Linked DNA regions of Caenorhabditis elegans. The protein of the gene in region 1 interacts with the protein of each later gene in a pairwise test. Each region holds a gene or a part of one and is shown in the gene's direction. Other genes may lie near its edges. The genes, in order: vab-3, unc-98, sorb-1 and meg-2.

The links.
Region 2: the proteins of vab-3 (region 1) and unc-98 interact in a two-hybrid assay, tested with the Caenorhabditis elegans proteins (2 studies listed by BioGRID).
Region 3: the proteins of vab-3 (region 1) and sorb-1 interact in binary tests that used the Caenorhabditis elegans proteins (3 or more experiments, as listed by UniProt).
Region 4: the proteins of vab-3 (region 1) and meg-2 interact in a two-hybrid assay, tested with the Caenorhabditis elegans proteins (2 studies listed by BioGRID).

What each region holds. Positions count from the first base shown.
Region 1 is NC_003284.9:10,498,097-10,502,905, forward strand, and holds the start of vab-3 (Paired box protein 6 homolog), read left to right. Parts: upstream 1-1,793; 5' UTR 1,794-2,009; intron 2,010-2,141; exon of another isoform or gene 2,142-2,197; intron 2,198-2,991; exon of another isoform or gene 2,992-3,098; intron 3,099-4,033; exon of another isoform or gene 4,034-4,139; intron 4,140-4,474; exon of another isoform or gene 4,475-4,615; intron 4,616-4,809.
Region 2 is NC_003284.9:7,569,872-7,575,451, reverse strand, and holds unc-98 (Zinc finger protein unc-98), read left to right. Parts: upstream 1-1,862; 5' UTR 1,863-1,877; coding exon 1,878-1,901; intron 1,902-1,949; coding exon 1,950-2,027; intron 2,028-2,117; coding exon 2,118-2,228; intron 2,229-2,458; coding exon 2,459-2,527; intron 2,528-3,075; coding exon of another isoform or gene 3,076-3,095; intron 3,096-3,316; coding exon 3,317-3,451; intron 3,452-3,493; coding exon 3,494-3,676; intron 3,677-4,479; coding exon 4,480-4,812; 3' UTR 4,813-5,078; downstream 5,079-5,580. Other genes in the region: pcyt-1 (Putative choline-phosphate cytidylyltransferase), read right to left, coding at 3,076-3,095. UniProt on the Caenorhabditis elegans protein: Probable transcription factor required for muscle structure.
Region 3 is NC_003282.8:13,748,394-13,753,353, forward strand, and holds the start of sorb-1 (SH3 domain-containing protein), read left to right. Parts: upstream 1-1,939; 5' UTR 1,940-1,942; coding exon 1,943-1,981; intron 1,982-2,029; coding exon 2,030-2,234; intron 2,235-2,259; exon of another isoform or gene 2,260-2,280; intron 2,281-2,465; exon of another isoform or gene 2,466-2,489; intron 2,490-2,649; coding exon 2,650-2,780; intron 2,781-2,791; exon of another isoform or gene 2,792-2,812; intron 2,813-2,866; exon of another isoform or gene 2,867-2,890; intron 2,891-3,103; exon of another isoform or gene 3,104-3,124; intron 3,125-3,362; exon of another isoform or gene 3,363-3,383; intron 3,384-3,396; exon of another isoform or gene 3,397-3,417; intron 3,418-3,533; exon of another isoform or gene 3,534-3,554; intron 3,555-3,996; exon of another isoform or gene 3,997-4,017; intron 4,018-4,087; coding exon 4,088-4,941; intron 4,942-4,957; exon of another isoform or gene 4,958-4,960. UniProt on the Caenorhabditis elegans protein: Required for organization of sarcomeres in body wall muscles and for maintaining normal mitochondrial position in myocytes.
Region 4 is NC_003284.9:13,922,104-13,927,969, reverse strand, and holds meg-2 (Protein meg-2), read left to right. Parts: upstream 1-1,840; 5' UTR 1,841-1,861; coding exon 1,862-2,000; intron 2,001-2,053; coding exon 2,054-2,356; intron 2,357-2,637; coding exon 2,638-4,257; intron 4,258-4,300; coding exon 4,301-4,532; intron 4,533-4,688; coding exon 4,689-4,829; intron 4,830-4,873; coding exon 4,874-4,898; 3' UTR 4,899-5,327; downstream 5,328-5,866. Other genes in the region: Protein meg-1, read left to right, coding at 1-236, 287-427, 474-501.

The sequences.
Region 1 (4,809 bases):
TTGGAGTTTTTGGTGTTTGACCTTTAGAATATTTATTACAGAGTTTTAATAAATCAAATTGTCTATTGTATGTAGTTTTTTTTTTGGTTTTACATTTACTGATTATTAGATTAAAATTAAATAATTCAATTTTGAAAATTCAGAAAAATAGTTTTGACATCCTCTACTACCTTTTTTTCTCATTTTATCTTTAAAAAATTAATTCAGGGCGATCATTCCCGCCAAATACGGACATGAATCCCATTTGGTTACCAAAAAAGTGCGGCGGCTGTCGTTGAAAATAAAAAAATCCAAAAAGTGGGAAAACGACATCTTCTGTTCACTCATGCGTACAGAATCTCCAAAAACATTTCGCCGTATTCATTTTTGGCGTGATGTACCACATATGACTTGGTCCAGATAAAGGTACTGGTGTAAATTTGTCTGTTGTGTAATCGGCATTTGACGCTAGCTTCTTGCCCAAGTTTGGCAAAAAATTTCAACTTGAATCACAACACGATAAGCTTGGTTTGGACTGTGTTTAAGTTTACGCCAAGTTTGATCCAAATAACAGTTTTTAAATAATATTTTTTTTAATTTTTGGGAAAAACGCAGGTAACGCCAAATGCCAAGTATAATTATTTTTAGACAACCGTCTAAAATTTGGAAAATATATTTTTAATACAAAAAATCTTACTCCGAGATTGATAAATGTGGAAATTTTGTAAACTACGATAAAAAATGCAAATTATTCTTAGTGTGTCAATAAAATTTTTCTATTTACTTTTCACAGTCCCAGTACTTGTTTCCTGCCAGATTTTCTCAAATAGGACTGACACCTGAAGCGGAATAATTTGCTATTTGACTTCCGAGCCCTCGAATTCTGGCGGGCGGTCCAACAAGAAGAACCCTCAATATTCCGTTAGTTATTTGTCGTCTCTGAAGACTTTATTGTCGGATGCAGCGATACCGTAGTCCGAAGAAAAGAATAGAAGAAACTGACAATGAATGGAGAAGTGGAGTAAAGCCAGCTACAAGCAGGGCAGAAAATATAAATGAATAAGTAAAGAAATCAGTTACAGAAAAGTGACATTAAATTTTTTCCACGTATCAAATTATGAAAATTATTCATAGCGAGGTTTTTTAAATGTTTAATTTGCAGTTACACTGCTTGAATCCGAATATCGATGCGGTTGCATTAATATTTATGTATAAGGAATCATCAAAAATAAAAGCAGTAGCTGATTAAAACTTATTTTTAAATCAGATATGTGGTGCATCTCCTTTTCAGAAACCAAGTAGTTTTGTTCGATCTGTTAAATTCTGTTAATCACAATGGTTCAGAATGTCTGTAAACATGCTTAGAAAACTAATGAGGTCGGTGGAGCAGAAAGTCTGTGAAAACTTCTAATTGGAATCAGGTGCTGGCAGTGAAATCACAAAATATCTTGGTCTGTACACCGGGCAAGAGCATGCCTACACCCCGCGAGTTTGGCATGGCTAATCCCTTGTTTGACAGATGTTCAGGGGGAAGGAGCTACCACTGAATAGTTTCCACGTGAGTAGAAATTGATTCATGTTCATAACATTGATGGCAATGTATTCGAGAAACAATGCCCATCTGCCACAAGTTGCAAAAGGTAGATTGTGAATAAAGCTGCGCATAATCCATAGAGAATATGAATGAAAACTCCGCCCATTTCAAAGAAGACGATTGGCCCGAGAATAGAAGCAAAAAGTCAGCGGTGTCCTAGGTGAGACAACGGAGAAAACGTGTCCGGGCGCGGCTCTTTTCAATTGTGGACCGAGAGGGAGAGACGTCGACGTCTTCTTTTTATGTCACACTATATCGTTGAAATAGTTTCGCGCTTTTTTGTTCTGTCCCCCGAAAGTTTGTTGGACAGTTAGATACTGAGGATCTCTTATTCTAACACTTCCAATATCTACACTTACACTAAATTTTACGCTACACAACACCAAAATCCGCGAGTATTCAAATAGTGACGGTCGAGTTGACAAAAGTGAACGTGGTGAGTTAAACTCTTGTTGGGTAATGAGTTAGCAGAAAATCAATAAGATGGCGAGCACTTTCAGATGGGCGTGCTAATGAGGTGGGCATGGGCTAGAAGTAAGAACTACCCTTCTTCGTCGGCATATATTTTCTCATTTCAGTCTGTTGCCTTTCTGCTGATTATCATTAGACTTTCTTGTTGAGTAGATAAATTTTGATGCCTCATTGACAATCATAAATAATAGAGAAACAATCGATATTGTCATAATGATAACAAACTAAGTAGGAATAATGTAGAACTGGTTATATTTTGAATAATTTCAAAACTCTTTGGTCTTTAGGCTAAATATAGAAACCGAGTCCTTCTCGAAACATTGATGTCGTGGGCTGCTATCATGTGTCTCCTATGACTTCAAACTTTTCTGAAATTACGTTACCTAATTTTTTTGAGCTTTCATGTTGTATCACAAAAATTTTTCATTCTGCTATAATTTTTCACAGATAATTGTTTGGTTCTAAATTCTGGGCAAAGTTTCAGAATATATTTTGAACTTTAGAACTGAATTCTTGAGCATTTCTGATTTAAAAAATCTTTTTGAACTTTTGCTACAACTTCTTTTCTCTACCATAAAATGTTTTCAATCTTGTTCGATGCTTCTACAAAAACTCCAACATCAGGAGCCATGCTTTCTCCTCCCACTTATGTTATTCATTGTGTATGTACATCCGCATGTGTCCATCATTGACTCCAAATTCCATTAGCCATCTACCGTATCTGGATTTCCGGTGTGTGACGCCGACTCCATGGCCAACACAGAATCATCGTAATTCTCCCCGCAATCTACATATCGCTACTCCAATTTTCGAATTTTGCCCCGTGTTGCAATTCCAATGCATTCAATCAAATTTAAAAGTTTTGATGATTTGTCTACTCATTTTTCCCACCCGTTCCGTTTTCTCCATGTTCAACATTTTTGTCGCCACCACCATCACTGAGAGGGGTTTTTGTAATTGGCTTGAATTGACACCCATTAACCGGCACACCCGCTGTTTGGAAGATGTCATAACGAAAACGTCGTTTGATGGAGGTCTTTGTCCGCGCCTTGTTTCCCTGTCCCTATAGTTGAAGGTGTTCGCCATCAGGCACCACTACTTTTTTGGCGCCCCTCTCTTTTTCTCTCTCGTCAGTGTCAAACGAGTAGTTGAAAATTGTGCTATTCCAAATTACATGGAGCCCCACTCCTCTGACCCGAAAGCCTTTCCATCAAATTTCGTTTTAGTAGATCTTTTTAACTTGTCATTATGCTCCTTTGGATAAACGATTTGGCTCACAGGCAAAGCATTTTCAACTGTGGGGACATTCCGGAAACACTTAGCCAATTGATAATGACAGTCCATCGATGAGTTATAAGATATGTTATCAGATGTACAAATCTGACACCCATACAACAGTCCTCACCTCGCTCTCGTCGTCATTCAGTTGCCAAAATCGTCATGCCTACTTCCAATTATGCAACTTTATCTTACGGGAAAATCTAATAACTTTTGCATTTCAGCTATGGCACACATGTTCAAGACATATTTTTAAAAAGTGAAAAGGTTGTCGGGAATATATAAAGATAAGGTATTGAAACTTTGGAAGCCCACGTTGAGACACTGTAAATAAACATTCACATTCACAATTTTTATCGTAGTCACTAATGTCTTGTTCCTTTAAAAAACATTTTCAATTTGCGGATTACAGAGGAACTAACTTCAAAAATTAAAAAAAAATCATTGAAAACGTTTTCTAGAATTACTTTTATTGAGTTAGAAAAGTAGAATCATGCGCAAAGTTTTTAAATTGATGTGCAAGAAAAAATTATCTTTAAGCCTAAAAAGCAAAATCCAATTTACGACACTTCCAAACGACAGTAAAAATTTTAAAAATTCAAAACTTCTCTTTTTATTTTTATCCGCAATCTTTGAATCACCAAGACCACTATTATGAGCAACTTCAAACAAAAAAGTTTATGAGTTCAGATGTAGTTCGAGATACTGAGTCATGAGCCTTCTCCTTTTCGTTCTCAAGATTTTGATCTCCTCAAACCGAGCTGGGTCCATTTCTACAGCATTGTTCTATTCTTTTGTCAAATTGGCTTTTTTAACCCTTTCTTACCTGCCGAGGCCTTCTTTGTTACCTTCCGATCACCACATCTCGACGGTCCTCCCCTCTTTATCTTACTTGCTGCTAATTACGTGTTCTCGTCAGTCGGCTCCAGGCCCGGATTAACTTTGACTACAAAACATATGTCGTTTGTGTTGTCTCGCTGCTGCATCAATTCTGGGTCAATAATTTGTGATTAGCTACCACCTCCGGTCTAATTAAGGGCTCCACAGGTTGAGGCAGCTCACCTTCTGTTGTTCTTGTTTGGTAATACCAAAGCATCTATGTAGTTAGACTTTTGTAAAAGATTATGAATCAGTGAATCAGTACTTGCAGACAACTGAAAAAGAGTACATGCTTACTTTGACGTTAATGGAACTTCTAGAAGTATCAGATAATGTATTAGAAAATAGGTACCTGATTATCATATGGGCCAGTGACTCGGAGACGAGTGATAAAGTATCACATGTAACTGAGCATGTAGTACATGTACCCTAGAAATCCCACCTTCCATCTCACCTTTTTCGGGTCTTACTTCTGTTATTCTTTTTTAGTTTCCATAATTCACTCAAAACCGCTCATTACCATTACCACATTACTACTTCTCCGCTATATGCATTTGATATTAGACACCAACTATTGTGACCGGTGTCTTCAGTCTTTTCCCGCAATG
Region 2 (5,580 bases), 2.9 Mb from region 1:
ATAATTTGATCCTATAAAAACGTTTTAAAATGTACCAGTTTTTTTAAATTTTTATTTATTCGTTTATTAGCTTTTTACCCCTTGAAATTTATCAAGGGGTAAAAAGCTAATAAACGCTGCGAAGGCGGGGCGGGAACGTTTAACCGGTAATAATGTAGTTTTACTGTTCCATAAGGGAAGATACTTATGTAAGAAGTTTTTGTGAGGCCACAAGTACACAGTAAGTATGGAAATCTAGGAGGTCCGGCTTTTCTGACAAGAGAGGATTTTATAAAGTAGGGCTATTGGTTCGTGGTATAAACGTATTGACTCAAAATGTGCTGGAAAAAAAAAACAAATTTCGTAGTGAGTCGCTTGTTCTCTTTTAAAACTTTATATTTAGCCCGAGTAGTGAGACTGTTTCATATACCGTATTTCTTCTATTAGTCTTGCATGCAAGACTAATTTTCCATTGGTCTGTAGGGTTGCAAGACTATTAGAGGCTGCAAGACTAGTTTTCGAATGCCCCATCTTTGAAAAAATGACCTATTTTTTGTTGAAAACTTAACTCGATAGCTTGCTGAACGATAAAAATATATACTTTTGCAATATTTCATAAATTATTTGATCATTTTCTAGGTTATTTTCTCAAAAATATCAAATTTGCTGACGTTTCCGCAAAGTACTACTGGTCTTGAAAAAAGAGGGATGCAAGACTATTAGAGACTGCAAGACTAATAGAGGCTGCAAGACTAATAGAGGAAATACGGAAAACTGTTTTTTAATGAAAAAGGGTCTGGTTACTTTATACTTGTTAAAAATTTAACAATTAAATGCATTTTTGTTGTGTAAAATTTCAACATTGGTGCACTTTTAGCCCGCTTGTGATGCATGAAAGAAAGATCCGATCAATCCAGAAGGTGGTGCAGCTCCAGTAAAATGTTTATTCCAATTAAAAGTCATAAAAGTCCCACATAACCGTTTAGATTCTTGAGAATTTTCATTCAAAGTTGTGGTAAATTGCCACAACTAGAATAAGTTGAACCTATGAAAAATATTAGAGCAATTCTGCATTTTTTTAAATGTCTACAATATATGTATATACAAATGATCAAATCATAGTTAGAATATGAAACTTGTATGTAGAAAAAACTATTTTTGCCGTGTTCCAAGATTGTGATTTGTGAAAACTGAATGATAACTACCTTTTTGAAAGCAAAATTATTTTAGATTATTTATCACTGTATAAAGGAGTGATTACAAAAAATCACCCTGACCGATGCTTCACATTTAAAACAATAGCTTCATAATCCTGCATAGTTTCAAATAATAGTTTTACAGTATGTAATTTAATATTTTTACAATTCATATTGAATAATTTCTAAAATATAAACTTCGTTGATCCTTTTCGATTATTATTTCAAAAAAAAAGTACTCTTTCTTTTGTTTGTACCCACATCTCCAAATCATTTGCACGTGTTCAACGTACTACACAAAATGTATGTCACCCACAAACACTAGCATCTGTGCCATTCATTTCAGAAACATGATTCCGCTTTGAAGTTATGTCGAGCACTGCAATCTAGACGCTTTTTTTACTTGTGTCGTCAAGATCTCTTTCTTCTTTAAGACAGTTGAGCAAGATTGAGGGAGACTGCAGACACAGAAGTGTCCCGCAAAACATCCAACGAGGAAAGGAAATGAGAGAGCGGGAGCATTTCAAAAGAGCACATCAGATCCAGAGATTGCAGAGGCGATTTCTCGCATTTTTCGATCGCGACGAGTCTCTTGAGTTTACACTGTGTGTTGAGCACCCCAGCTAGCCACACCGAGCATTCTACCCTCTGACAATTTTCACCCCCATTCCGACGACTAACCGCTGATATCCAGATACAACAATGGATGACGACATCTTCAAAGAGGTATTGTTCTTGATCACTGTGAGCTTTACTTAAATTTGAATTTTTTAGGCAAGAAAGGAAAGAGATGACTTCGAAGAGTTGATGAATGCCTGTGATCTTGCCAAGATGTCCGTGAAGAACAATGAAGTGAGTTAGAGAAACCGAGAGATGACGGAAAAACCGGAGAAAAACGCGGGGGTGTCTGTATTGCGAAATGATTAAAAAAATACCTTCCAGATGGTTCATGGTCTAGAAACCTTCGGCATCAATGGAGAATCGTCAGAAAATGGAAATAAGGAAAAGCCCAAAGAGATCATGAAAGTTGTTGCCCCAACAGTTGAAGCATATGTGAGTTTGGTAAAATTTAAAAAAAAGAATTTCAGAGATTGAAATGTTTGATAGGTTTTAAGGCAAATTTTTTTAAATGTTTTTAAGATTGGATTCATACTGACATTTTTCAACCCTTGGATACAAGTGAAAAAATGTTGAATTATCTGAATAGTGTCTGAAAACGCTTAAATACTTTAAAACAGCGCCATCCTAATTTGATTTTAAAAGCATCAAGTAAATTATTGTAGGTCGGAAGTTCAAGTGCTCAAACTCCAACAAAATCGAGTGGCGGTGCTTTGGATGGCAGTGATCAACAGGTTTGTTTTATTGTTTTTATGAAGTGTGTGTTTTTGTGCATTTTTTGTTGAATAGTTCGTGCTTTGAATAATTTTTAATTAAAAAAACATTGATTAGGAATGTAGTCTATAGGTTTGTACAGGCAAAATTTCCGGAGAAAATGAAACTATATTTTTTGAGTTGTTTGAGAGAAATTGTTAATTTTTTGCTGAATTTTAGATAGTTTAGAAAAGGTTTTATTTTCTAATTTTATAATTAGCATACTAGTAAAAACTTATTTGCCAGAATACACAAAGACAAACTCAGTTCTAATTTAATTTAAATTTAGCCCATTGTCGAAGTAACCATGTCCTGTACATTTGTTGGAAGAGAAAGCTCAGCAGGATGCTAAGAAGAAAAAAAAACAAATTATGATTTTTGTTGTTTGTGATTTTATTTTTCTCTTATCATTTTCAAATACTAACTTGGAATATAATTTCTTGCTGCTCCTTATGCTTTTTTCCTTCAACCTATCCATTTCCATTCTTCTCCTTTCCCAAGCTAATTCACATGGGTATTGTTGACTTACTCTTGTTTGTGAATAAACATTTTGCTGTTGTTGTTGAAGTTGATGCGCTCACTTTCAGCACACGAACCAAATGTGCGGAATATAGATGTGAGCATTGACAGCTTGAATGTGAAAGAATGAGGGAAATGGGAATAAAAGGAAGAAAAATATAAGATGAAGGAAAAACTGAAGAAGGGAGGGAATGAAGAAGGCGTTAAATGAAAAAGAGACTCTTTTAGTCGATGAAAAGTGATTATTGCAGGAAGTGCGTCAGGACGGAACTAGTGTGCAAAAAGATGACAACGGATTTGTATTCTACAAGTGTCGTTTCTGCGGACTCACATTCAACTTCATGAACACTCTCCGTGCACACGAGAGAATACATGACGTTTCACAGGTTTTCATTCGCTGGATTACTTATAGAAACTCTTTGTTTCAGCCATATGTCTGTGGAAAATGCGGAGACTCATTTGAATTTGCTTGCCAACTGGAATATCATGCCGCTCAGCACTCAGAAATTGACGGGTACAAGTGTGAATGCGGAAGGACGTTCTTTTCTTACACGGAAATGTTATATCACAAGCACACGGACGATCCACTCGAATTGATAGGTGCTCCAGAGGTTTGTCTAATTGAGAAATCTGAGAAATAATAAATTTACTAGATTTTACTAATCAGTAGAGCTTTTTGAAACAAAATCTGAATTACGAACTTCTCGGAAAAAAATCAACAGAATCTAGCTATGGCTGTTTTAATGTTTGATTTTTTATTCTTCAGTTCTTTCGACTCAAAATCTATCAAAACCTTTTCATCCAGCCATTCGCTTTTCAATTTTGTATTTGGTTTTCATAGTCCTTGATGTGAGAAAATTGTGAACAAAAACTTTGTGTGTCTTGGCTTTCTGACGTAAAAAAAATATTTTTCTCAACAAAAAAAAATTGCTGATAGCCTGTGAGAGGGTGCAATTTGATACGACTGCACTTACTTCTTGCATCACAACTGTTAAACAGATGGAATTTCAGTGCAAAAAAAAGAAAACGTTATGAAACAGAAGTTATGAAACCGAAGAAAGTTCCAAATTTAAAAACATGTTTTGGTCGTTTACCTTACGTTGTTTTGTTAATGAAGATACGTTTCAAGCAATTAGGGACCAAAAATTACCACAATTTGCTACCTAAGTCTTTGTGACTGGGAAAAATTGAAACAACTCGAGTTTTTGACTGAAATTTGGGTATTGCCTTTTCAAAATTTTGAACCCCCATAAACAAGTTTTTAAGTAATTTTTGAGAAGTAGTATTTCAAATTTCGTTCGTTTGGTTTTGTTAAAAATCACACGGAAAAAAAGCCGAAACCGTTTTTTTACTTTAACAAGGAATACATTTGTGAGAAGAATGAAGATTACCAATATAATTTGAAATACTTCAGACAACCACAATAAAAGTAAGCAAGAAGCGAGTCCTACCGGTCTCCGAGCAAGATCTTCCACAGCCAGCTTTCGTTACTGAAGGATACGAGCCGAAGCATCCACTCCGAGTGTACAACGACGTTCGTTCAAAACCATACATTTGTGAATATTGTTCGAAAAGCTACTCTGACAGTCGTGGTCTTGCATATCACATGTACAGTCATCGTGGAGAGAAGTACTTCAATCCTCGAGCATCTCGTTATATGATGGGAAGGGAAGGAGTTGGGTACACTGATTCCAGAAGCTACTATTTATTCCCAAGAACAAGCGGATACGTGACTCCGCGATTCTGAGCAACCCCTGAGTATTTAAAATTTTTCTAATTTAGTATTTAAATCTATCCAGATCTTGTAAAATATATATATATTTCAACATCGGCTAGCTTTAACAATATTTGTCCTTCAAAATGTATATTCGATATGGTTCTTTCATATAACTCATATTTCTTTCTTTCAACTAAATCAACGTTTTTCTTTAGTGTTATCGTTTTCTCATTTCTTGTCATTTTGTCTTTTCCTCACATTTTTAAGACGCTCGTTATAAAGACGGTCAGCAGCAGAAACTCGTTTTGTGTTCAACATAAACTACAATTGACTACAAAGCACAAAAATCGTGTGTTTCCAACGCACTCAGACACACTCTATAAATACTGTTCTCGTCATGTCTTGTTGGTATTTTCTTCTTTCCCTGAAATATCGATTCCTGGTCAATCGTACAATTGGGACCATGTTAAGCGGGAAAGACATTGACCGCTAGCACAAATGTTGTCCGGCTCTCTCACAATCAATCTTTCTTCTGTGATGTGTTACGACAACCCACAACCGATTTTTTGATAGCAAAAATGATAAGATGATGATAGCGAGACAGCTCAATTGTTCGTTGTTCTAGAAGTTGTACGTTTTTTTAAATTTATTTTGCATCATTTTGAATTCATTATTTAAAAATGTATAAAATTGTTTAATTAACGGTTCTCGAAATATTTTGCCACTTCACAGCCACGATATCTCACTCAATAAAGCAAATGCAATTTGGGACACGCACTTGTGTTCGTTATTAATATC
Region 3 (4,960 bases), on another chromosome or scaffold:
TTTAAATAGACTTTGTTACTTTTATGAAAATTTACCCCAATTTTTTAGTAGACCAAGAAAATAAACTTGTTCAAAACTTCTTCTTGAAACTGTATAAACAATTTTTTTCGTAGCTTTGAATTATAATTATATTCCGTATTTATTTGTGTCGACTGGCAGACTTTTTTGTATTTTTAAAAAATAGTTTGATGTTTTTCATATTCTGAAAATACTCATTTTTATAGATTTGGTAACTAATAAAAAAACTATTTTTAAGCACAATTAGTCTCCTAGGTTTATTCTTCGATGGCAAATTGTGATGCGAACGGCAAAAAACTATAATTTTTTTGAACAAATTTTTTGCAAATTTTAACTGTTTCTATGAAGTGTTAAAGTTTCTGTTCTTCCTTTGAAACTAATAAGCTTGCGCTCCACCTTTTTTTAAATACAACGGTTACTTCTGGCCAAAAGAGTACTAAATCAAAGGTGTGATGATCATGATCATAGTGATGAAAAAGTTTGTCTGGTCACTTGAGAGCAGTTCCATCTTCTCTCCTCTCATTCTCTTTCTCTTCAGCAGGTCCATCCGGCAATTGCTTAACAAAAATTGAAAGAAGAAAGACGAAAAGTGTGTAAAGTCATGTATATAGTGAGCAAAAAGATAGAGAGACGCAGACACTGAGAGAATGTGATTCTGTTTCGTGTCCCGGGGACAGAAGACGCAATGAGGGACATTCTTAGTTTCTCTAAGTGTGGCTCTCGCAACAATAATATCACTCGATTTACTGATAAAATTTTTCTTATTTTGGTTTTTTTGTCGTATTTCAAAATAACAACTTTTCGTAAAACCTAGTACTGTTTCGGGCTTGTTAACTATTACAACTGTGAAACGGTAATTTTTATTATTTTAATTTTCAATAATTTTAGTTTTCAGTGAAATACATAACTGATTTTGCAACTCCTACAATCATTGAGTTCTAATTATTTAAACTTAATGAAAGTGTAAAAAATCGTAGAAATAATTTTTTGGGTCGAACCCCAAATTCTGATAGATGAAATGTGGCCTTTTCCCTGTTATAAAAAATTTTTAACCTAAAAGTTTTACTATTCTTGAAAAAACTGCTCAAGTGACCAGACAACATTTTTCAAAAGTTGTACGTCTTACATACTCATGGACAAAGGTGGAATAGATTTGAAAATGTTGTAAAAGCTTTACCATTTCAAAGAAACAGTATAAAATTTAAACACTTGTTCCAGAATGTTATTTTCATTTTTAAAATTAAAAAATTACAAGTGTCTTTTCTATTTTAAGAAAACAAAAATTAGCATTTTTCAATTCCAGCAATGGCAAAATTGTGATTGCCGTGCACATTTTACCCGGTCTTGGAAGCTATTTTTAAAAACTAGATACATTCTCATTCAAGTCTCAAAAGGTGTTCAAAACTTTAAAAACAATAACTTTAACACAAGCATTAACATTTCAACAAAAATTATGATTTTAAGGATTGCGTCAATTGAACGTGAATCCATTGTGGGAGCTTTAACACTTAAATGAAACAGTCAAAACAAAAATTGACAATATGGTCATTTAAGTACCATCCTTATAATTCCAAAAATGCATTCTACTGGCGCTCCTAAATGTCAAATTTAGTTGGAAATTGGGTTCAAAATCTTTATAGAATTTAAAAATCTAGTGAGAAAATATTTTGAAAATTAAAACAAATTTTCAAGATGTCTGAAGTTTTCTGGAAAATGGAAAATATTCTTGAATAGTGTACATCCCATGAATCTGCAATTATTGTCAGATTGGGTAAAGTTCGAGAACTATAAAAACTGTTACAGTACAAATTTCAAAAAAAAATCCCATTTCTGACAGAACATATTAGTCTTCCGTATTTCACATTTTTCATTTATTCTTTCCTTTATTTTGTTATACAATTCTTCAAACTCCCATATTCCAGGAATGATGCATCATCCTCATCCATTCGGGTCAAACCTGGCGGTAAGAGCTTTCAATTAATCTACTCCACAATCCCTAATTAATTTCCAGAACTCATCAGAACCACAACAGCCATCTGGTCAATATCTAAATCCTGCAGCAGATGCCTACAACTTTGACACCTTTGAAGATTCTGATAAATTCTCACCGAAGGGAAATGTGGCGGCGTTGAGAAATGTGATACATGGGCAGTTGGATATGAAGACACCAACTGGAAATAGTTCCAGATATCAGAAACCAGCGCCTCCGCCTGTTGGTGAGTTTTGTTTTTCTAGGCGTTCTATGTATTAAGCTACGAAATAATAGTTTTCGGAAAGTAACACATAGCTCATATGAATTCCTTGAAACTGTAAAAAATGTTAGTCAACAAGATAGTCAACAAATACACGATTGGCTGAGACCTGGTACCTCGACGGACCTGGAAGATGAAGCAGCAATTTTGCAATTAGATTTTTGTCATTTTTTCTATTAATAGTAAGATATTTTGGTTTCTGTCCGAATGCTGCAAACAGTAACAATAAAGTTTTGAAGTAGTCTTATAAACTATCTAAAACTGTTTTTTTTGTATAATTTTTTCTGATTTTGCGGAAAACAACTCCTGATGTCTCTCCTAACCAGCAATATTCAAAAAATCCAAATGTTTTGATGTTCAATAAAATAATAAATTCCAGACTCAACTCCTTCCTGGGCCAAAAATGTAAAAGTATACGAACCAAATGGATATGTGGATCCACATCTTAACAAGCATAATATGGGAAGAGTACTTGATGGTCCTGTCAATCCAAATAAATATTTTCAAGGAGTGAGTTTTATTTTGAAAAAAACAGCGATACAATAAAGCAACGAACTTTTCAAACTGAAAACAATGTGCTGAAATAGTTAAATTTAGTTATTACTGACCATTTTTTACTGATATTATTTTCTTTTTGGCTTTTTTTACAAGCTATGAGTGAAACACGTGAGTTTTTTTCTAGAAATTATTATCGACTAAAGCTTCACTAAAAATTGTAAAATATGAGCAAAATTATTTTGAGTTTTGAAGTTTTCTACTTTTCAGAAATACAATTCACAAGTAATAATAGCTTCTATATACGAAATTTCAAAAATTTAACAGTTTTTAAGTTAAAAAAGAACAAACCGATCAGATCAAACCGGAAAATTGTAAATGTCCTAAATGGCTTTCACGAAACAGTAGAACTTTCTTTTTAATTTTCCGAAAACACAACTTTTCAGTTCTATTTTGAAAATTGTACATTCCGGGAAGTTTATGAAAAATCCTTATGTAGATAAAAATTTACGCAAAATTGTTTTAAAAAACGTTAAAATTTTGTGTACAGTTTGAAGATTTGCAAAAATTTAAAACAATGAAAATACTTTTTCGTGTTGTCTATGAAAACTACATTACTATTTTTTTGTGATAGGAAAACTTATAGGAAAAATGTTTTGAGTACTTTTTAAAACTTGCAAATGCAAATGACCTGAAAAATCGCCAAGACATTTCATGTTGTTCTAAAAAATTTAGTGCTTATTCTCTTACTTAGACTTGTTGCGACACACTGAAGATTGAAACCAATAAACATTTTTCGCTTGTTCTATTGTCATGACATAAAATTCCTGAAACAGAAAAAATTGTGGTTTCTATTTTTTTTTTTTCAATTTTCTATGAAAATTGGGTCAAATAGTGTCTGAAAGTTGTCATTTGCTGAAAAAGTTTCACGGCAAACCCTAACTCAGGCACTATTTGAGATAATTTTCGAACTTTGCAGAAAAAATAAATATCATTATCAGATAGAACTCATAGAACAAACCTTGTCCTACATTTCTGTAATGATTTTTGATACAAAAAAAATATAATCACCAAACTAAAATACGTAGGTTTGTACATTTGCTGAAAAGATTTTCCGCGCAGAACTGATTCTAACCAGGAAAATCAATAAAATTATAAAGTTTTATTCAATTCGGTGTTGATACCTCCAATTTCTTGCAAACGGAATGCCAAAATCAGTTACTTGAAATTCGAAGCGGGGAAATTTGAAAGACCGACTCTATTAACATCTTCGCATTATGTTATGAAGTTGAAACAGCAGAATTATTTTTTGCAACTTCCAGGTTCCACCGGCCAGTTACAGTCAAGTAAAGCACAATGAGTCGAAACCACCAGTGCCTCCTTCCACAAAGCCTCCACACTCTGCTGCTCAAGCCCTTCAGGCTCAGGTCCTACAGAGCTCCAAAGCCCCCTCTCAACCCCAGCAATCTCAAAAAACGTCCTACCGAATCCCGTATGACGTGGCGCTCGATCCACGTCATCACCTCGGAGAATTCGACATTGATGACAGTGCATCAATTATTTCCTCGTGTATCTCGACATTTGGAGAATCTTCAGAAATTGCTGGATTTTCTGCGGCAGCCGAGCAACGGCATCTCTATGAGCAATATAGGAAAAAGTTAATGGAAGAGAAAAATGAATTGAAAGAGGGAAGTGAGACACCGTGTGTATCTTTGTCTGAAAAAGTGATGACGTCATCGACTGAAAATTTGAAAAATGGAAATAATCAGCAGAATCAACAACCTGAGCCTCAGCCTCCATCAAGCTCAATATTCAATTCAGAACTCACACCGTTTGGCCACGTGGCTCCTGTTGCTAAACAATTTGAACCAACAAATTTTCCACCATTTTCTCCAGAAAAAGAGAGTGAAATCAAGAGATCTATCGATTTGGAAAGTTCCCAACTTCTCGTAAAATCAAAATCCCCGGCTCCCTACTCTACAAGCTCGACGGATCATTATGGAACTATTCGAAGGAAGCATAAACCAGTGGCAATTGACCTTTCCAAGTCATCACCCAACTTGGCGAGTCAATCGCCGAGCAATTTATTTTTTGGAGCCAGCTTTGAGGAGAAGCAAAATCGATCGCCGATGACATCAACTCCGTCTTATAAAGAACAAGGATTCAAAAATGATAGGTGAGTTGATGTTTTCGTG
Region 4 (5,866 bases), 3.4 Mb from region 1:
TACATTCGTCCCGCTGCCAGTCTTGATAATACCTTGGAGACACTTGATGAGAATTTGGATTCTTCACAAAGTCATGCCGGGCCAGTTCCAGCAGCTTCAACTAAGCCCAAAACACCATCCTTTGAGAAGATGATTAGATACAGTGGCATCAAAAAGCGAAGCACAATGGACATGGATAATTTTGTTCGTATGCTTGATGAAAAGATCAACTTTTCGCCTGAGCCAAGCACTTCAAGGTATGTTAACCATAATAAACGAATTCCGATGTACTATTATTTCTTTTCAGTGATATTGCCAGCTCTGTGAAAGGCTACATGTCTCAATCCTTCCTCCACCAACAAGATGACGAAGCTCCTGATTGCACCAAGAATGTTCATTCTGAAAGTGATTTGAAACAAGCTGAGCCACAAGAATCGGACAAGCAAAGGTGAGACTTGTGAACTTATATAAATAACAAGCAATTTTTTTTTCAGTGACAAGGAATTGCCAAGCAATGAATGAGACGTTGGACAATTGGTTCGCCTACAAGAACACACTTACTGTGCTGCCATTTTGTACCATAACAATTCTATTTTTACCATACTAACCAATTTCACAATTACAAATTATATTTTCCTGTGATTTTCATCAACCATCAACCCATCTTGTGCTGTATTTGTATCTCATAGTAGAAACCTCCCAGCAACTAATTTTGACTTTTGGCTCGCCTGCCAACATCAATCTTATTACCCAATTTTGTACCATAACACTCTCTATTTCTACCACACTAACCAATTTCACGATTAGAAATTCTTTTTCCTGTGATTTTCTTCAACCATCTTGTATTGTACTTGTATCTCATAGTGCTCAGTTTCAGTCTTACCGGTTTTCCAGTCACTGTCCAGTACAATTTCACCGACTATTGTTGTTTATTTCGATAAAAATATTTTGTTCTAAATGTTTGAAATTTGTTGTAAAAACTGGAAATTACTAATCCAAACATATATCTTTCAAAAACAAATACCCATTGAATTATTTTGGTTTATTTTAAAAGTCATACCGTTTTTCACATGATGAAGATATTGAGAAAACGAGTTCAGGTTTAATGGTAGGACAAACTTGTAAAGTTCAATTATGATGTGGCTTGATTCGGTGCATTTTTATATTTTTCAAGTGATCAACCTAAGACCTCATTTGATCAACGAATGCTCGTATTTAACTAGGTTAAGTAGATAAAAACGTGTGGATCACTTTTTTAGTTAAAAGTTTCTTGCTGAAACGTATAGCTTTTGGAGCATACTTATTGGAAAAGTCTAAATAGTCGCCGAAAAATTGAAAGCGAGTATTGGCCAGCACTGTTTTAAATAGTTCAACAGCAGAAAATTGCACACCAATAAGACTTCAGAGAATTTTATTTTGAGAAACTCTGAACTATGCAATTTTTTCTTGAAATCCCTACAACTCTAATTTCTGCATACTTTAAACTCTCAAACGCCAGAATTTCATAAGGTTTCTGAGAAATTTCAAACGATCACATTCGCCCTTTCACAGCTAACTTAGGTTTTCAAATTCAAAGAAAAAAATCATGCATAAATAAGAACCGTTCCATTTTTATCTGTTCCAGTTTACAATGGTAAAATCAATAATTCGCGTGTGCACTGTTTTCATCATATCCATCGTCACAGTTCCGTCACGCACTTGCTGCGTCTCTTCCCTCTCACTTTTCCTTCCGAGGCACTCCATTCAGTCTTCGTTCCATTACACGTGGACAGTGGTCCGCTCTCTGTTTCATCTGCAGTTGTTGCGAAATCTCTTTTTTTTCTTTTTTCTTAACATTTTTCTACAATTTTTCAATTTTTAGGTTTCCATTTGTTGCGCGGCAATGGAAAATTGTGATGATCTTTCATCGGATGAGAATCTCCCACCACCCGGAGATCACCGTCGCGAACAGTCCCAAGAAAGAGCGAGAGTCGGGAATCGTGATGAATCAGTTTCTTCGACCAACATGCGTAGTATTGGAGGTAAAAAAAAATAAATTTAGATTCACTATATTTATTAAACCGGTTTGTTACAGGTGCAGTTCACAACCAGCAGCAACTTTATTGGACAGACATGTACAATGGCTCAAATAATTTGGAGAATTTTTGGCTGTGCTTCTCTGGAAACACGTCTCTTGCCGATGATCCAACCGTTCAATCCGATTCATCCGCGTCCACACAAAGTAGAACTAACCAAAGTGGTACAATTGCACAGGAAACGGACAACAGGAATGCAAGCAATTTTCCGCCACGATCAACAACTCGGCGTGGACAGACATATGAATCGAGAGACGAGTCTCAAGGAGGACAGGCGCCCTCACATCAGAACCAGGTTCCAGGTGAGCCTCAAATCTAAACTTTGATTAGAAAATTATCTACGTTCACAGTGCATTACTTCAACAGTCGGGAGAATCATATATTCATGTTGTATGAAATTTTCTCTCTTTATTTCTTACTGAAGTACCGGGTAATAATTGAATGAAAATAAGTTATCAAAACATAACAAATTGATAAGGTTCCAATTTCTATTTATTTTTTATATGAAACATTTATCGGAAACATAAGTACAACTTCATTTATTCTTTGGCACTTCATATATTAATAAGCTAAATTGTTTCAGGTGTTGATCGCGATGAGTATGCAGGTGACCGGAGTAACGTTTCCATCAATCTACCATCCGTAGATCAGTGGCGCGAATACAGTTTTTCTGATAATTCGTTTCAAGGCGAAAGCCGGACTGTCCAACGGAGATCATCCCGGGCCACACATCGCGTCAAAAATCAATTTGGCAGCATTGGAGATGGGAGAACGAGCAATAATACGAGCCTCCAAGAGCCAGTGATTCAGGATACAAGAAATCGAAATCGCTCTGAATCTTCTTCCACCATGTCATCGCAATCACGAACAGAACATGCTCCAATTTTCCGGTTGCAATATAATTACCAAAGAGAGGCAGACAATAGATCTTCACGATTGGTTCAAATACAAGGACATTCGGCTCCAAATAATGCAAACGGTCTACAAAATACGGGCGGTCAAGCTCCAGACATTGGTCCTGAGGTCAATGGTCAGAGTTCCGATACTCGAGCAATGAACATGGGTAATCAGATGGCTCAAGGCGATTCCCACGTTCCAATGAATTTCGTACCAAGACCTTTGTCTAACGGTGTTCCCAGGCTTCACGGAGTTCCCAGGCTTGTAGACATGTACGATTATGAACTTGCTCAGAGGGCTCATGCACGAAGATATCCGACTTCAAATATGCCATACGGTTTTCCAAATGCCGGCTTTCAAGCTCCTCCACACATGGGTTTGTGGCCAAATAATCAAAATGCAGATACTCGAGCAATGAACATGGATAACCGTTCGAGAGATCGTACCTTCCAGATGCCTCCTGCAAACGCTCAAGTTCCAACGAGTTCTCTGTCAGGTCTATTCAATTCATCTATAAATCACGGCTCCGGGAATCAACAGTTCCAAATGGGACAGAGCTCATCAGGTTCTGCACCTCAATTGCCTGCTCTTCCGGAAAATTTCCTGATGGCTCATGCAAACTCTCAAATTCCAACGAGTTCTCTGTCAGGTCTTTTCAATGCAATGAATCACGGCTCCGGGAATCGAATGAACCACAGCTCATCAGGCCCTGCACCTCAGTTGCCCAATCTGCCGGAAAGCTTCCTGATGGCTCATGGAATTGGTCAAGTTGAAACAAGGTCCCCAGCAGGTCCCTCCAATTCCTCCATAAATCACGGCTCCGGGAATCAACAGTTCCCAGTTCAACAAAGCTCATCACGCCCTGCACCTCAGTTGCCCAATCTGCCGGAAAGCTTCTTGATGGCTCATGGACTCTCTCAAATTCAAACAAGTTCCACAGCAGGTCCCTCCAACTCATCTATGAATCACGGCTCCGGGAATCAACAGTTCCGAATGGGACAGAGCTCATCACGCCCTGCACCTCAGTTGCCCAGTCTGCAGGAAAGCTTCTTGATGGCTCATGGAATTGCTCAAGTTGAAACAAGTTCCACAGCAGGTCCCTCCAACTCATCTATGAATCACGGCTCCGGGAATCAACAGTTCCCAGTTCAACAAAGCTCATCACGTCCTGCACCTCATTTGCCTGATCTGATAAGGCAAGAGGAAGAATTTTTGAACACTCTGGAGTTTGAGCAATTTGCAAGGCGATTGTACAACGACCTACTTCCTGGAGTTGATCCAAATTATGATTCAGGCACATCAACCAGTAGGTGGAAAAATGTGTATTCTTTGATTTCAAATAATTTTAGGTGAGACTCCAGTGCTAAAGTTCTCAATAACACTAAAGGCGATGCTTTACGACTACTGGCGGACGATGGTGCAAATGCAGTATCGCGGAGCGAACATCAACTTCCTCCAATCCATTATTAACTTGAATGCCAGGTCTGCTGCTCTCAACAGCTCAAACGCCAGAGCCTCAGGCTCGGCGGATGTGCAGAATCAAACAGTGTCAGCGACGGTCGAAGGAGCAGATGATGCCAGGTACACACAGGAATCCAGTCCGATGCCTCGGCATTTTTTGGCACTCGCTGCATTAAAAAAAAGTTTGGTTATAATACACGCGTACCAATTAATTCTTTATCTGAGCCGAGCACATCAAAGTATTCCAATAAAAAAAGTACCAATTATAATTTTCAGTGCCAATGTCAACGCATTGAGCGACTTGCTGGCCCAATCTTTCCCACGCCAAGCAGAAGGAGAAGCTTCTCGTCGCAACGATATAGATCATCCCGAAGATGATCTGAACCAGGCTGATTCACCGAAATCAGACAATCAGAGGTAAGCGGGAAAAATAGTTAAATATCACATCTTTATAATTTCAGTGACAAGGATCCTCCCAGCAACTAATTTTGACTATTGGCTCAACTACAAACATCAATCTTACGACCCAATTTTGTACCATATCATTTCTTTCCAATTTTACCATTTCTAGTTGTTTTTCTGTGATTTTTTTCAACAAGCAGCCCAACTTGTATCGTACTTGTATCTCATAACAGGAACTTCTCAGCAGTTAATTTTGATCAATGGCTCGCCTACCAATAACAGCCTTATTACCCACTTTTTTACCATACCATTTCTTCTTACCATACTAACCAATTTTACGACTTCTAGTTTTTTCCTGTGATTTTTTTTTCAACAAGCAGCCCATCTTGTATTGTACTTGTATCTCATAGTGCTCAGTCTCAATTTTTTTCGGGTTCCTAGCCACTGTCAAGTATAACCTCACCGGTCGTTTTTATTGTTGTTTATTTTAATGCATACAATTATTTTTATTTATTTATTTATATTTATTCATCAGGCAACAATCACAATGACACAATTACGACAAAGCAGTGAAGTGAAGGAAAAAGGAATGAATAACTAGATATAAAATAATCATTTGGACCCGCAAGAGTCCGGTGACTAAGTATGAGGGGGGGAAGAGGGTAAAACATTGTCAACAAAAAGTTGACCGAGACGTTTTCCGAACAAAATTTCTGAGACAGGCTTGGGGAAATAAGGTACTATTTTATTCCAGTAATTAAAATTTTTATGCAGGAAACTGTCATTTTTAACGCCGCATAGCTTAATTCTGTAAGGGAACCGGGTTTTGCTATTTTGCTCAGAATCTTTGTAACGAGAATAAAGAAACTTTGAAGCCCAAAGGATTATCTTTTCGAATGAATTAAATGTGAGTTTTGAAAGTTTACATGTTGGTAATTGGCAAAAGATAGATCTTCGATAGTAACTTATAACATGATTTTGAGAAAACTGTTTCATGTTTGAAAGTGTAAAAACAACAGCTTATGAAAATCTATTTCAAATTGTCAATATTG